Linked DNA regions of Elephas maximus indicus. The protein of the gene in region 2 interacts with the protein of the main gene of each other region in a pairwise test. Links are inferred from orthologs where the notes say so. Each region holds a gene or a part of one and is shown on either strand. Other genes may lie near its edges.

Region 1 (7,156 bases), on a different chromosome or scaffold from region 2:
CTGCCCTGCCCAGGCTCCGCCTGATAGACTTGGGTAGCTTACAGAGGGGGGCTTGCACTTCTGTCCTGAGCCCCTCAAATGATTGTTGCAGCTTGCTCCTGGACCAGGGTTCCGACTGTTTTAGGCGTATTTGCGTCTCTCGGAATATGTAAACGTGAAGTTTGCCGGGTAACTTGGGCGAGAGGGGGCGCAGGGAAGGACTGTGTGGGTGACGACTTTTGTTTTCGAGTAAAGAGTGTTTACTCTGGAAAAAGAATTCTCGGGTCTGCAAATTCCGACTTGTGATTTCTGCAAATCCTGATTAGACTGGCCGCTCTTGGCAAGCTCGTCCTATTTTCCTCTTTCCTGAGAAAGCCTTATCGTAATAGCGTCTGCTCGCAAATGCTTTAAAAACAAAAACAGAAACTCGTGTGCTCCAGGTGACAACCGCGGTACGCTTAATAGTTGCTGACAGAATTTTATTTCTTAAGCTTAGGACGTGTCAGTAGTTTTACTCTGAAAAGAATGATCTGTTTTGTTTTTAGGGTATTTTATTCTTATCTTCGCACAATTATGTTTTTTCCCAGGAGAAACATAGATTTGGTTTAATGCTACAGATTTAGATCTTACTCTAGAAATGCCACATACTCTCTTCCTTTATTATTTTATTTTAAAGCAATATTGGCAAAATGACGTGTGATGAGGACCTTAGCAACAAGAGGAAAAAGTCTACAGGATTCAGGATTAAAGTGTATTTGAGAAGCTTTTGGAACAGGACGTGGAGGGCAAAAATTAAAATGAACTCACAAAATAGCTCAGACTACCTTTTGAAAGCTTGTACTAAAGCAGAACTTAATATATATCTGTTTTCTTTCTACATAAAAAAACAGTATCTCCTAGTATTTTCCTTCAAAAGTTAATATTTATGAATTATCTGTGTAGTTTAGTAGTTATATAACTTATAATTCCACACCCAAATGCCTTGTAATTATTGCACGTTATTTTACACTTGAAATAGACCAAAAAAGCACTTTAATTTCTACTTCTCAATTTCATTATCTTCAAACATTCAAAACTTTGTGACATCATTTGGTAGCAAATACTGTATATAACTGAAAAGTAAGATCAGTAAATCATTGATAATGTTGTAAATATTGTATGAGGGGAAAGATGATTTTAACACAGTGGGTTTTATACAGAACCCAGTGCCGTCGAGTCGATTCCGACTCATAGAAGCAAAAATCATGCCATTCTCTTGAATACATCATGGGGGAAAAATGAAACTGATAAACACATACCCTAAGTTTTCCAATGACATAACATCTACCAAAAGAAAAAAAAATTCAGTAAACATTAGCTTTTTCTTAAACCTGATACTGTAAAACATTTCAAATCTCAGGGACAATTGAAAGTTTTACTCCTGAGTTTGCTTAATAAGAGCTCAAGTTCATAAGGTACATAGTGTAGCATTTACTGCCTTCAAGGCTTGGTTCTGTCTTCACAGTGAAGAGACTACCGTGTTTGAACATCCCTTCATACAAATATTTATCTTTCCTCTATAGATATATCTTACTTTTTCATCTCTATTACTCAATCTGCCCTGTTTCCAGTTACCATAATTTGTAAATAAAAATTGAGATTACAACCTCATCTCATGAAAGGATATTTAGCGTCTATGATATGTTAAGTACATATAATCTTTTTAAGCTTAAGCAAATACTGCTGGCTTATCAGGCACTTTTCTAGTTAAAAGCTTATTATTTAAGGTTGTTATTTGATTTGTTTTTTTCTTTCATTTTGCTTCACCTATTTAGTTTGTGTCCCTGAAACAACAAAGCATGTTGAAAACTAACGAAGGTGGAGGCTGTATCTTTTCATAATAGTTATTTTCTATTTCCCTCCTTAGAATAGTGCTTTTACCTACAGAAAGCACTCAGCAAATGCTGTTAAATTAACACAGTCCTTTTATGGTTCCATTTTTCCGGTGGCCTTCCTCCTCTATCCCTTGTTTTTAACTTTTATTTTCTTTTTCTGGCTCTTTGGAGATAACCAGGAAACAAAACCAAAGACAAACCACCAACAACCAAAACAAAACACACACATACAACAGAACACACAAAAGCAAAGAGAAAACCTCGGTGGGGGTCTTTATTAGAGACACAGCTGGGTAATAACGGCATCCTTGTAAACTCTGTAAGGGCAGCAACGATTTAGGAGTCGTCTTTGAATTCTCACAAATCCCACGATATACATTTCTGGAATGGAATTTCAAAATGTGAAGTTTGGCAAAGTATAGCGTAATAGCTAAACCCTGCTCTCCAGCCCTGACGCCCATCACCTCTGGCTGAGACCCAGCCAGGAGAGCGCGGAGTACAGGACTTGGGGTGAGGGACCCGGGATCGAATCCTGGCTCAGCCCATCCCTGAACTAAACAGCTGTTCCTCGGGGCAGCCTTGAGCAAGGAAGGGCGGAAGCTGTCACCGGATTCTGGAACTATATGGGATTTTGTCCGCTCGTTTAGGGAGAAAAAAGAAAAAGTCCAGTTGACATAAAAGCCCCCAGCTGCCGCCCGCCCCCAGTGTGCCTCCTCAATACAGGAGTTACCATCAGCAGACGTGGTTAAAAATGGTCCAAGTCGCGTGTTTTGGGATTCTGTGGCTCCGAATCTGGACTCCACCAACCTCTCCACCGCCAGTAGGGCTCGCGTGGGGCCCTTTATATGTTCCCTCCGGGAGCAGAGGGGGTCGGTCCAACCGGGTGTGTCCGTCCGGAAACGCGGCCGCGTTAGGAGGGTTCCGGGCCTCCCGAGGCTGTCCGTTGGCCCGGCAACGCCACCTCCTCTTCCGGGGGGAGGCTGCGGGAGGAGCCCCAGCCCGAGCGCGACTGCAAGGGGTTGCTCAGCTCGGTCCGCAGCTCCTTCCCCCAGGATGGCGTTTAAGGCCTCGTCTGTGTCGTCCTCTGGGCCGCGGCCCCGCTTAGGTGAAGCTTCAGCGCCTCTCTGGGCAACCCCACCCTGGAGAGGAGCCGGGGCCACGCTTTTCAGAACTGCCACGGTGCTGGTGGTAATCCCATAACCAGTATTTGTAGGGTCTTATGATTTTACAAATAAATCAGTTTGATGAAGGAAATATTGTAAACCAGAAAGGGTTCTACAAATGCTCGTTAGGCACTTTGGCTTGGTTCACCTCGCTTGAACCTCTCAGCTGCCATATGTGAGGGAGGAATTACACCTTCCATCTGGACCCGGGATTAATCTGCCTAACGGGGCTGGGCCTGGGACTTGAACCAGCCCTGGTGGTGTACTGGTTAAGAGCTACGGCTGCCAACCCAAAGGTCAGCAGCTTATCTCCCAGGCGCTCCTTGGAAACCCTATGGGGCACTTCTGCTCTGTCCTATAGGGTCCCTATGAGTCGGAATCGACTCAACGGTAATGGGTGGTGTTTGTTTTTTTTTTTTTGTTATCTCCCTTAAGGACCAAAATAAATAAATAAAGAACCCTGATATTTGGAGTGTTGAGGGGGAAAGACCAGTAAGTGTTATCTATGAAAAAGCAAAACTTTATCCAAAAAAGGAAGAGAACCACTAATGAGCGCTCCTAAACTTGGCGTTGCCTTGGTGCCCGGGATTATCTCATTACAATGGTTGTAATCACCGTTTGTAGGATGAGGAGGGGTGGAGTCTGACAATCCAGCTCTCAGCTCTGGTGGTAAGCTTGCCCACTGCCTCCAAGATCCTATTCAGTGTCTTCTTTTTCCGGAGGAGAAGGAAAGCTTATTCTCAGGACACAGTCTCGTTGATTTGTATTTTTAAAAGCCAAGCCCAGAGCTGCCAGATTGCCCATGTAACCAGCGTCCCTTTTTCTTCAGCGCTGGAGTGGATGCTCCCTTCACCTGGCCTTTGGAGACTCGATTGCTTTTTAATGGCAGCAGCGGCTGCTGGGTGAGCAGCCCAAGACCGGACAGACTCATCCCGTCAGGACAGGATTGCTTCCTCTCTGCCTCACCTCCGCTGGATTGGCGGGGGTGCTTTTCCCTCCTTGTCCCTAGACTCTTGAAGGGAGAAGAAGATGCCACTGCCATTTGGATTGAAACTGAAACGCACCCGGCGCTACACCGTCTCCAGCAAGAGCTGCCTGGTTGCCCGGATCCAGCTGCTCAACAACGAGTTTGTGGAATTCACGCTGTCGGTGGAGAGCACTGGCCAGGAGAGCCTGGAGGCTGTGGCCCAAAGACTGGAGTTGCGGGAGGTAAGCAGCAAAGGAGGTCCAGTGTCTCTGGCCTGACTTTGTTCCTTACTTCTCACCACTTTCATGCATGCTGTCTGTGTGTTCTAGCCCACAGGATACTAAAACATGTCCCTGGTCATGATATGAGTTGAGCCTACAAGCCCCCTCCCCGTGAGGAAGGAATACCTACAGAGTGAGATGTCTTGCCTTGAGGGTGCCCCTGATGTGAAATAGCAGTGCCCGAGTTTTTGGAAAAAAGGCCAGATAACCTACTTCCAAAAAAACCACAGCCACTGAAAACCCTCTGGAGCCTAGTTCTACTGTGAAGCACATGGGGTTACCATGACTGAGAATCTGCTGGAAGACAACTGTTTTTTCTTTCTTTGAGCTTTTGAAAATGCAGATTTGTTCCCCCCCAAATGTAATCCATAATCAGATACGAATGCATGTTGGATTATCCAACTTTTTCTTTTCTAATACAATCCCAAATGGGTCATCCTGCTCTAGTACGGTTCACTGACTTACATTCACTCAGCAAATATTCATTGACTTTTTGCCACAGGCAGGGCCAAGATTCTAGAGACATACTGCCTGGATTTTGAATCTGGTTTCCTCACCAACTAGTTGCATGACTTTGGACAAATTATTTGACCTGTTTGAGCCCCAATTCCCTCGTCTGAGCCTTGGGGACAACGGTGATGTCACACCCTTAAACTGGTTGTGTCATTTAATGTGTCTGCATAGCCATAAGCTCTAGTAACTAGTCTATTCCCGTAGTCATAGGTTCGCCCTGGAAAACCTCAAAATTTTGTCAATAAGAGAGTTGTGGGGGCCTCGTGTATCGAGATAATGTCTTTTTTTTTTTTTTAAACTACTGTGTTTTTGGTGAAAGCTTACATGGCAAATTAGGTTCTCATTTAACAATTTCTATATTGTTCAGTGGTATTGGTTACTTCTTTCACAGTGTGTGAGCATTCTCATTATTTCCATTCTGGTTGTTCTGTTTATATTAATCTAGCTTTCCTGTCCCCCCTTACCTTCTCATCCTTAGTCTAGGGTAAATGTTTACTGTTTGGTTTCATTTAGATGACTGTTTATAGGACCACAGTATTCATGGCTGATTCCAGTTAAGGCCTTGAAGAAAAAGGCTATAATTAAACCTAGGATTCTCCTTGCCTTTAGCCCCCTAGTTCTAGGGTAGCAGTAAAATGGAGAAACTGGTTATTCTACTTGAACGCCCAAATTATATTCCTAACTGGAAATCCCGCTGATGTACTTCATAAAAAGTCAGAAGTAGATAAACTTTGTCCTTGGTGACTATCCTGTATCTTGATTATTCAACATTGAAGACCTATAAGTTCACCCTAGGCACACACTAGGAGTTCACCCTAGTGTTGCTAGCAACACGAAAACAGGCATGATGCATGCTATCGTAGAGCAAGTACAGGATGCTATGAGCTATGGGGGGGTCAGCAAAGAGAAAGATTCTCAGAACACGTGGTGTCTGAGCTGGGACCTGAAGAATTGGGCAGGGGAGTCTTCTGGGGGCTGGAAAAGACTGTTCCAACCAAAGGAACTGCACGAGTAGTGGCTCTGAGGCAAAAGCAACTGATCTGCCTGGAGGCTGAAGTGAGGAGTGGGAAAGCCGAGAGGTTGGGACTTAGAAGGTGGGGCTTTTGTTAAAGGATTTGGACTTTCCCTGAAGGAGAGATCAGTCCCTGGAGAAGGACATCATGCTTGGCAAAGTATAGGGTCAGCGGAAAAGAGGAAGACCCTCAACGAGGTGGATTGACACAGTGGCTGCAACAATGGGCTCAAGCATATCAACGATTTTAAGGATGGCGCAGGACCGGGAAGTGTTGCGTTCTGTTGTGCATAGGGTCGCTATGAGTCGGAACCGACTCGACGGCACCTAACAACAACAACAAGTGAGGACACCAGAAAAAGGTTTTTAAGTGATGGTGTGTTACTGTTTTGCAAAGAAACATCCCTCTGGAGAATGATTAGGAAGGGGTGGTTTTGGTGTAGGTGGTGACCACCTAGATTTGGATGGGGGTAGGAAGAAGTGGGTAAAGTCTGGAGAGATTCAGGACAGTCTCAGTTTCCCAGGACTGCTGTAGTGAAGTACTGCAAACTGAGTAGCCTAAAATGACAGAAATTTATTTTCCCACAGTTTTGGAGGACAGAAACCCAAAATCGAGGTGTTGGCAGGGCCATGCTCCCTCCAAACCTTGAGATAAAGATCCTTCCTTGCCTTTTCCCCCTACTCATAGCCCCAGGCATTTCTTGGCTTGTGGGGGCATGACTCGGATCTCTGCTTCCATCCTCACGTGGTCGTCTTCCATTGGTGTCTCCGTGTCTCCCTTTTCTTCTTATAAGGATACCAGTTATATTGGATTATGGCCCACCCTACTCCAGTATGGCTTCATGTTAACTAATTACATTTATCCACCACCACTGCCGTCAAGTCAGTTCTGACTCATAGGGTTTCCAAGGCTGTAAATCTCTACAGAAGCAGACTGCCACATCTTTCTCCCTTAGAGCCACCGGTCGTTTTCAAACTGCTAACCTTTCGATTAGCAGCCAACCACTTTAACCACTGTTCCAGTAGAGACCCTGTTTCTAAATAAGGTCACATTCACAGGCACGGGGGGCTAAGACTTCAACATATCCTTTTTGGGGACACAATTTAACCGATAACAAAAACTTAGCTAGTAAGCGTTGATGGAAAGAGCTAGCAAAGGGTCCAGGTAGATACTCAGGTTTCCAGGAGATGGTGGGGACTGTAACTGAGAGAGGAGACGTAAGAGGTGGAGCAGGTTTGAGGGGTGCAAGGAGAGGCGTGTGGGGAGTTCAGTTTTGGAATACTGAGTTTTGAGATGCTAATTGGTGACATTGAGCAGACAGATGGGTATGCTGGTCTGTAACTCAGGTGAGAGATTCAGGCTGGAG
Region 2 (8,251 bases):
TGCTGTCAAATCGATTCCGACTCATAGTGACCCCATAGGACAGAGTAGAACTGCCCCGTAGGGTTTCCAAGGCTGTAATCCTTAAGGAAGCAGACTGCCACATCTTTCTCTCACAGAATGGCTGGTGGGTTCGAAATGCTGACCTTTTGGTTAGCAGCTCAGCACTTTAACCACTCACTGCTCCACCAGGGCTCGTCGAAGGAACTTTTCATTGGAAATATCAGAAAGATGTGACCTATAAACAATCTATCAGCAGAATTCCCCAAGCTAGCATTAAATAGCAAAGCTCCAGCCCATATTTTGAAAAGAGGCAAGAACACACAAACTCAAAATTTGGGATGAATTCTCCGCAGTGCAGAAGGGGTGCAGGAGGCAGGAAAGGAAGGGAAGAAAGGCTGTATATTTAAATGGGGCCACTGGACAATTCCCTCTACTGATCTGTGTATTCCCAGCTGTGTCGAGGATGGTGCCCTTACGCTTTATCCTTTAAAACTGAGAGATGAGGGTAGCAATTCCTTTCCCTTTTGTCTTGATTAGTTGCCCTCTCTTACTTTACACGTCATTAGTTAAAGATTTTGCTAGGGGGGAAGATAATAACATAACACCTGTGGTGGGAGGGCAGCGGAGGGGGAGAGCAGTAAGGAGAGGGAAGATTCTCTAACTGGGGACGGAGGTTCTGGAAGAGAAAATGGAGGACCTGCAGCAAACTTGACCTTCAAATATTTGCCCAGAGCAAGGAGCACTGGCGGCACAATGTTTAAGTGCTTGGTTGCTAACTGAAAGAGTAGAGGTTCATGGTTGGCTCCGAGGGAGAAAGACCTGGCAAGCTGCTCTCATAAAAATTACAGCCTAGAAAACTCCATGGGGGCAATTCTACTCTGTCACCCGGGGTGGCTACATATCAGAATCGACCCGATGGTGCACAAGAACTATAACAGGTAAAGGGTATATGGATGTTCATTGTACTATTCTTGTAACGAGGACAACAGGCCTACTTATCATCCTGCTAAATAACTGCACAGAACACGGTGATAAGTTTACACAGGAACAAAAGGCTTCATTCAGAACCAGGCAAAGTGGTTCAAAAACATATCTTAAGATGTTGGCCAAAGACAAACCTGGGATCCCCAGAATGCAACGAGTCCCTGTTTTACGTGGTTATGCTTGTCACGCAAAAGTTACTTACCATTGATCTTGACCTGATATGGACAGAAATCCTTTGAACATTGACACTCAAATTCCCAGCATTTTGGAACGCCCATCTTAATTTTTTTTTAATCTTAATTGCACTAAAATGAAGTTATGAAAACCAGACACTTTGGCAAGGCTATCTTTTCACAGAGAAGGCAAAAATTCCACCGCTCTTCCTGTTGGAGCTGAAATTGGCTTTGGGCGTGAAATTCACCTTCAGAGCCTCTTGAAGCTTTTCTAAGCCCTTTCTTCTTTTCCTTCTGCCCACTCCCCTCTGCCCAGGGCATACTCTCTGGGCACCTTTCTTAGGAAGGAAGCAAAAAGTGATAAATTTCCATTAGGCTGAATGAGTTGAACACAGAACCCTGCTTAGGCAGTGGTGCGAACAAAAGCACCTAGCTTTGGTGGGTTCCAATCCCTGCTCTGTCTTAATGCAACTTGGCAGGTTTCTTTACACGGCTTAACCTCAGCTTCCCCGTCTGTAAAGAGAGTGAAACAGTGACCAGCTCAAGGGCTTATGAGGAGTCAAGAGAAAATGAAGATACAGCATCTAATAGATATTCTAGAAACATATACCCGTTCCCCTCATCATTCCATAGGCAAAGTTAAAAAACAGGAGACAATGAAATGATCCTCAGTGATAACACTTCAGTCGTCATCTCCCTTCCCCCAGCTCCTGGGGGTCATGGGGGGCAGCAAGAGCTCCCCAGGCAGCCTCAAGTCGAGACGCACCGTCTCTCCATCTGGGGACCACTTGCCTTAAAATTGGTTTGAAGCCAGCCCCGCACTGACTGAGTATTTGTACCACCAGATTTATGAATAAATACCTGGATGTTATCAAAGTGGGGTCCATGGACTGGCAGCATCAGTAACACCTGGGAGCTTGTTAAGATGCAGAATCTCAGGCCCCAACCCGAACCCACGGGAACAGCATCTGCATTTCACTGAGATCCCAGGTGCACGCTGGAGTTTGAGAAGCACTGACTGAGACCACATTATAACTGTACTACTTTTTAAAATCAAATCACGGTGCACAAGAACTTTTAAAATTATATAGGTGTGAGTACAGGGCTGTGGTTAACCCCCCTCCCTTCTTTCCATCCCCATCTAAAATATCCCCTGGGCCCTTGATTTAAGGAGCCTTCAGGGACCTGGGTGGTGTGCGGGGTTTGTGCTCAGCTAGTAACAGAAAGGTTGGAAGTTTGAACCCATCCAGCAGTGCCAACGAAGGAAGGCCTGGAGATCTACGTCCATAAAGATTACAGCCAAGAAAACCGTATGGAGCAGTTCTGCCCTGCAACACATGAGATTGCCATGAGTGGGATTCAACTCGACAGCAAAGGGTTCAGGGACCTAAGATCAAATATCTGGTGCTAAAATAACACCATACAGTACACAGAAAGGAAAGAAGGCATGGATAACATTTCTTTGTGTTTTTTGAAGCTGGTATGAAAAAAAAAATCATTAAAAGCCAGAGAAAAGCAATGCCTAAAGAATAATGGGGGACTCAAAAGAGGAAGCACACACACAACCTGCTCTTTTCCCTGAATGAAATTTTGAGCCAGGGGTAGATTTACAGCAAAAAGATAGCAGTCTGAACGTCTGGGCCCCAAATTACACAATCCCTTTCAAAGCCCTAGCGAGTTTGTATTCATAATTTTGGATTATTGTTTTGTAAGTGGGCTCCCCCAAATTTGAAAACTCCAGACCCCGTAACAGCTGGATCCAAACCTATTTTCCTGTGGAGCCCGGGCTGCTGATACGCACCATTTCGGCCTTTTCTGTTGCCCAGGTCCACAGCGCCAAAGTTAATCTTCTCTTTGCAGGAACCCAGCCCCAGTTGTCCTCCTTCCAGCAGCAGCAAATTGTCTCACATGTTCCCGGCTGCTGGGTCAGAAATGGCTACATTACTCAGTGCCCCCCAAACGTTTATTGTCCTGCAGAGCCTTACACAATCCCACAGGAAACCACGCTCAACACTTAGCCAACACTTGTTGATCTGATTGAACGCAGTCAAAACAGAGACAAAAGCATATTTCAGAAAGGTTCCAACTTTGATATCTGCACCTCCTGCTTTTCCCAGGCAGCCCTAGGGTCCATGTGATAACCCTGCCTTTGTTTCTAGAGGTTTCTTCCGGAAAGGACAAGAAAATATCTCTGCACAGCCCCACTTCTGACGCTGACTTCTTTCAGGAAACCATTGGGTAATGCCAAACTGCACAGAGAATAAGCAATAAAAACTTCAGCTCAACACTTGGACAAAGAGAGGCCTGAGACCGTACGAGAGAGAGAAGAACCATTAACAAAACCGTAAAGGAGCACATTCCCCAGCTGAAATGATTAAGAAATCTAGAAATGGAAAAGAAATTAGTTTTGCCAATGTTGGGTGCTCCAAGATTGCAACGAAGAAAGGTGATTGTCACTTGACTTCATTCTGACAACATAACTTTTGGGTTCACTCAGTCCATCTTTTTCTCTGGTGCACACAGGCTGGTCACATACACTGAATCTAGTGACAGATTTTAGGCTCGGCTAGGGAGAGACAAGAAAATGAACCATCCTTTTAGCATGTGTTGACACACTGTGCTAATTTATAAATTGTTGGATACTTTAACTTCTTTGTAAATATCTATAGTGTGCTTGTTGTTGTTAGCTAGTTGCTGTCATTGTTGATTGGAACTCTTGGTGACCTTCTGAACTGTGCAGAGATAAACTGCACTCCATAGGGGTTTCAGGGCTGTAACCTTCAGAAGCAGATTTCCAGGCCTTTCTTCTGAGGTGCCTTGAGTGGATTTGAACCGCCAAACTTTCAGTTAGTAAACACTTAAATATTTGTGCCACCCAGGGACTTACTATGAGTCAAAATCAACTTGATGGCACCTAACAACAGAGTGTGGTAGGAGTCCCTGGGTGGCACAAACAGTTAAGCACTAGGTTACTAACAGAAAGGTCGGGCGTTCAAACCCATTCAAAGGCACCTCAGAAGAAAGGCCTGGCAATCTGCTTCTGAAAGGTCACAGCCTTGAAAACCCTATGCAGCAGTTCTACTCTGCACATGAGGTCACCATGACTCTACTCAATGACAACTGGTTGGCTGATGGTGTGGTAAAGTGTTGGGTTGACAGAAGAGAGCGAAGTTCTGACTTTCAATGAGGTCCTGTCTTTTGAGTGGGCACAGGGTTAGCATCCTTTCTATGTATTCATCCAGCCAATCAGCTCTTATTGAGCATCTACCATGTCCTGGGCATTCTGTTAGGGACCAGAGACATAAAAGTCAACAGAACAAAGAGAGCCTGCTCCCTCTAGGGACTTGTCTAGTGGGGGAACACAGATAAGTAAAGATGGAGTGTGTGAATGACTACTCGAAGAGATTTTTCATCTTTCCGCCCGAAAACTGAAATGTGGGGAAGGGCAAGGAGTTCTAGAGAAGAATTTGGAAGAGCATAAATTGCACCCTCGTAGCAAATAAAAGTCATTGACGGATTCCACATAGCTCGCCATCCAACCACTAGGAAGAAAGAAGGCCGCCATTCAAGAAATTGAGGACGGGAAAGGTTAGATGAGAAGCTTAGAGGGCAGTGAGGTGGTGTTGATGACGATTAAGCAACTTGGAAAAAGCGTATCAAAAAAGGTGGCACAACCTGAAGAACGCAACCAACGTGGCTGAAAGGTACACATAGAAATTGTTGAATTGATGCATGCTCTGCTGTTTTTTTTCTGCTCTGTATATTTTCACCAAAAAAAAAAAAGAAAGAAAGAAAGAAATTGAGCTGAGGCAGAGTAACAGTGGCCCAACCACCTGGCCCAGTAAGTTAATTTGATACTCTGCTAACTTGCTTTGCCACAAGACAATTTGTATTTACTCTTCTGCTCATATATGGTTGCATGGCAAAAGAAAATTCTAGAAGAAAAAGTAAATTTAGGGGGGAAAGGGAGGAGGTGGCATAACCCTGGAAATACCTGGGCACACTCTCTTGGGATTCCAGTCCCTTCTCAGGGCTTAACACACTCAAGGGCAGTTAGGAGGAGTGGTTTCCTCTCAGTCAAAACCGGCACCGATTTATTTATTTTTCTATTCATTCACTTCCTCCGCTACATCTCCTGAACCCTTCTCTGGCTCTATGTTTTCCATGTCTTTAGTTAAACCCTAAATTTGTTGTGGCAACCTGCTTTTCCAATGACGTGATCTAATTTGCACGAAGTAGAGTCAGCTTTGTCACCTCCACCCAGTGAGATCCTTAGGAAATTTCTCTGAAGCTTGTTCATGCAAGCCGTTAACAGCCTACAAGCTTCGGTAGGGACACAGCAAGCGATAATGTGACTTCATGACATGAACCAGTTTGTTCACTTGGGAGAAGTAGTGCTTAGATTTTCAGAATGAGAAAGAAACTGGGAGGATCCATTTTGTGTGTGTGTGTGTGTGTGTGTGTAAGAGAGAGAGAGACTAGCTTTGTGACTGACCTGTATTTTTCTCTCACTTTTAAAAAAGTCTGGGGATGTTGGACCTTGCTTGATAAGGTACTTTTTTTTGACATAATCGTACGCGTGTGTGTAGTCTGTAGAAAAACCCAAACCCACTGCCGTTCAGTTGATTCTGACTCACAGTGACCCTATAGGACAGAGTAGAACTGCCCCGTAGGGTTTCCAAGCAGTGGCTGCTGGATTCGAATTTTGGTTAGCAGCCCTAGCACTACGCCACCAGGGTTTCTGTGTAGGCTATAGAGTTTATAAAAAGTTTGTACATGCTTCATACTTGTGAGGCCCTGAATTAATCTGTCCCTAATGAGAAAAAAAAAGAGGGGACCTTCCGGGGCCCTCAGTTACCACTGCAGTTCTCTGTCCCCTCCTTGCAGAAGTGAGAGTGGATGCTGCAAAAAACACCATGTTTTGCTTTTGATTCCAAATTTCAGCCAGGACCTCTCTCCAGAATTCCAGACTTGTGTCCGATGGTCAACTTGTCCATATTTATTTGGATTATATACTACACATGTAGAACTTAACATATTCAAAGCTGACCTCCTGATTAACCCCTTAAACTAGCTCTTTCTAGTCTTCCCCTTCTCAGCTAATAGCAACTTCATCCTTTCAGTTGCTCAAGTCAAAGAATGTGGAATCGCCCTTGATTTTTTACCTTTCCCTCACATCCAAGGAAACCCTGGTGGTGTAGTGACTAAGAGCTACGGCTGCTAGCCAAAAGGTCAGCAGTTCGAATCCACCAGCTGCTCCTTGGAAACTCTATTGGGCAGTTCTACTCTGTCTTATAGGGTTGCTAGGAGTTGGGATTGACTTGACAGCAACAGGTCTGGTCTGGTCTCACATCCAACATCCAGTTGTTCAGAAAATATGCTTGGCTCTACCATCAAAATACATCCCAAGTTTGGCCACTCCTCACCACCTCTACCACTACCTTGATGGTCCAAGTGGCCCTTATCCCTCACCTGGAATATTACCCCCGCCTCCTGGCCACTCTCCCTGAACCCACTCTTGCCCCGTGCAGTCTATTCTCCAGTAAGTGGCCAAAGTGATTCTTTTAAATGTTAAGTCAAATCTTGTCACTCCTCTCCTCTGAACTCCCCGATGGTACCCTCTTACTGTCTTTAACATCAGCTTATGATTTTTCTACTACTCACCACTCCCAAAACCGGCTTCATGGCTATGCCTACAATATCCTGAGCATACTGTGCCCCAAGACCTTTGCACTGGAGGTTTCCATTGCTGAATCTTCCAGATATCTGCCTGGTTCATTTCTTCATCTGCAGGCTCAGCTCAAAGGGTATCTTCTTAATGAGCCCTGCCATGACCACCCTGTCAAACACTATAACCTCACCCCACCCAGAACTCCCAGTCTCCCTTCCTCTGCTCTACTTGTTCTTTTTTTCCACAGGACTTATCACCTTATATCCTGATACATAATTTCCTTATTGATTATTGTTCTTGTCTGTCCATCCCTAGAGAACAAGCCCCACAGGGTGCCAACAACTCCTCTGCAGCCTAAGCTCTCTCCACGGCTGTCTCTTCATTGGTGGGTCACCCTGTCACCTCTCATACTTATTCCTTCCAGTTCTAAAATCATCCACTTGGAGGCTGGGATCTGATGGGAATTGTTCACACTTACTAGAGCTAAAGAGCCTACCGTCTCTCCTAAGGATGCTTGGGCATCAAGCTTCAGGTTCAGTAGTGGAACGAATGGCATTGCTCTTTATGAAAGGAAATTGTTGATTGGCAGGTGGAGGTGGACGAGGAAAGGTTTGTTCTTGTTTTGTTATGATGACCATTCCTGACACCTATAAAATCTTTACCCATACTGTTGGTATTTTATCAACTCAACTCCCATTTTGTGGTGGGAGATAAGGATTTGGGGTCTCGATGGAGTTGGCAAACTATGCCAACCTCCTGTTTTTGTAAATAAAAATTTTATTAGGACACAGCCATACTCATTCGTTTACATATTGTCTCTGATTGCTTTTGAGCTACAAAGGCAGAGTTGAGCAGTTTCCACAGAGACTGAATGGCCCACAAAGCCTAAAATAGTTACTCTCTGGCCTTCACAGAAAAAAAAATTGCTGGCCCCTGATCTAGAAGAATCCTGCCAGCACTGGAAGTGCCCTAGTAGCCTGGAATTACGTTCAACTGCTCAATTCAACAGACATTCATTGAACTGTACTGTGTACAACGCATCAGAGTTGGAATCAAGGAAAGAGGCACAAAGGGACATCTTTCTGGAACTCCTCCAGCCCTGATTCCTGCTTTGACTCAACTTATTTTTTCCTAAGATTTTAGCATGAAAAATTCAAAATACAGAAAAGTTAAAAGAATCATCCAGTGAGCAGCCATATCCCCACCTAGATCCTACAATGAACAATTTCCTATATTTGCTTTATCATATACCTATCCATTTATACAGAAACCCTGATGGCGTAGTGGCTAAGAGCTAGGCTGCTAACCAAAAGGTTGGCAGTTCAAATCTACCAGGCCCTCCTTGGGAACTCTATGGGGCAGTTCTACTCTGTCTTATGGGGTTGCTATGAGTTGGAATTGACTCAAAGGCAATGGGTTTTTT

The links.
Region 1: the proteins of BMX (region 2) and PTPN21 interact in binary tests that used the Homo sapiens proteins (3 or more experiments, as listed by UniProt). The link is inferred for Elephas maximus indicus from reciprocal best matches to the Homo sapiens genes BMX and PTPN21.

The regions. Positions count from the first base shown.
Region 1 is NC_064828.1:102,173,853-102,181,008, reverse strand, and holds the start of PTPN21 (tyrosine-protein phosphatase non-receptor type 21), read left to right. Parts: upstream 1-3,950; 5' UTR 3,951-4,045; coding exon 4,046-4,225; intron 4,226-7,156.
Region 2 is NC_064846.1:164,080,997-164,089,247, forward strand, and holds the start of BMX (cytoplasmic tyrosine-protein kinase BMX), read right to left. Parts: upstream 3,222-8,251; 5' UTR 2,962-3,221; coding exon of another isoform or gene 2,959-2,961; exon of another isoform or gene 2,923-2,958; intron 1-2,922. UniProt on the Homo sapiens protein: Non-receptor tyrosine kinase that plays central but diverse modulatory roles in various signaling processes involved in the regulation of actin reorganization, cell migration, cell proliferation and survival, cell adhesion, and apoptosis.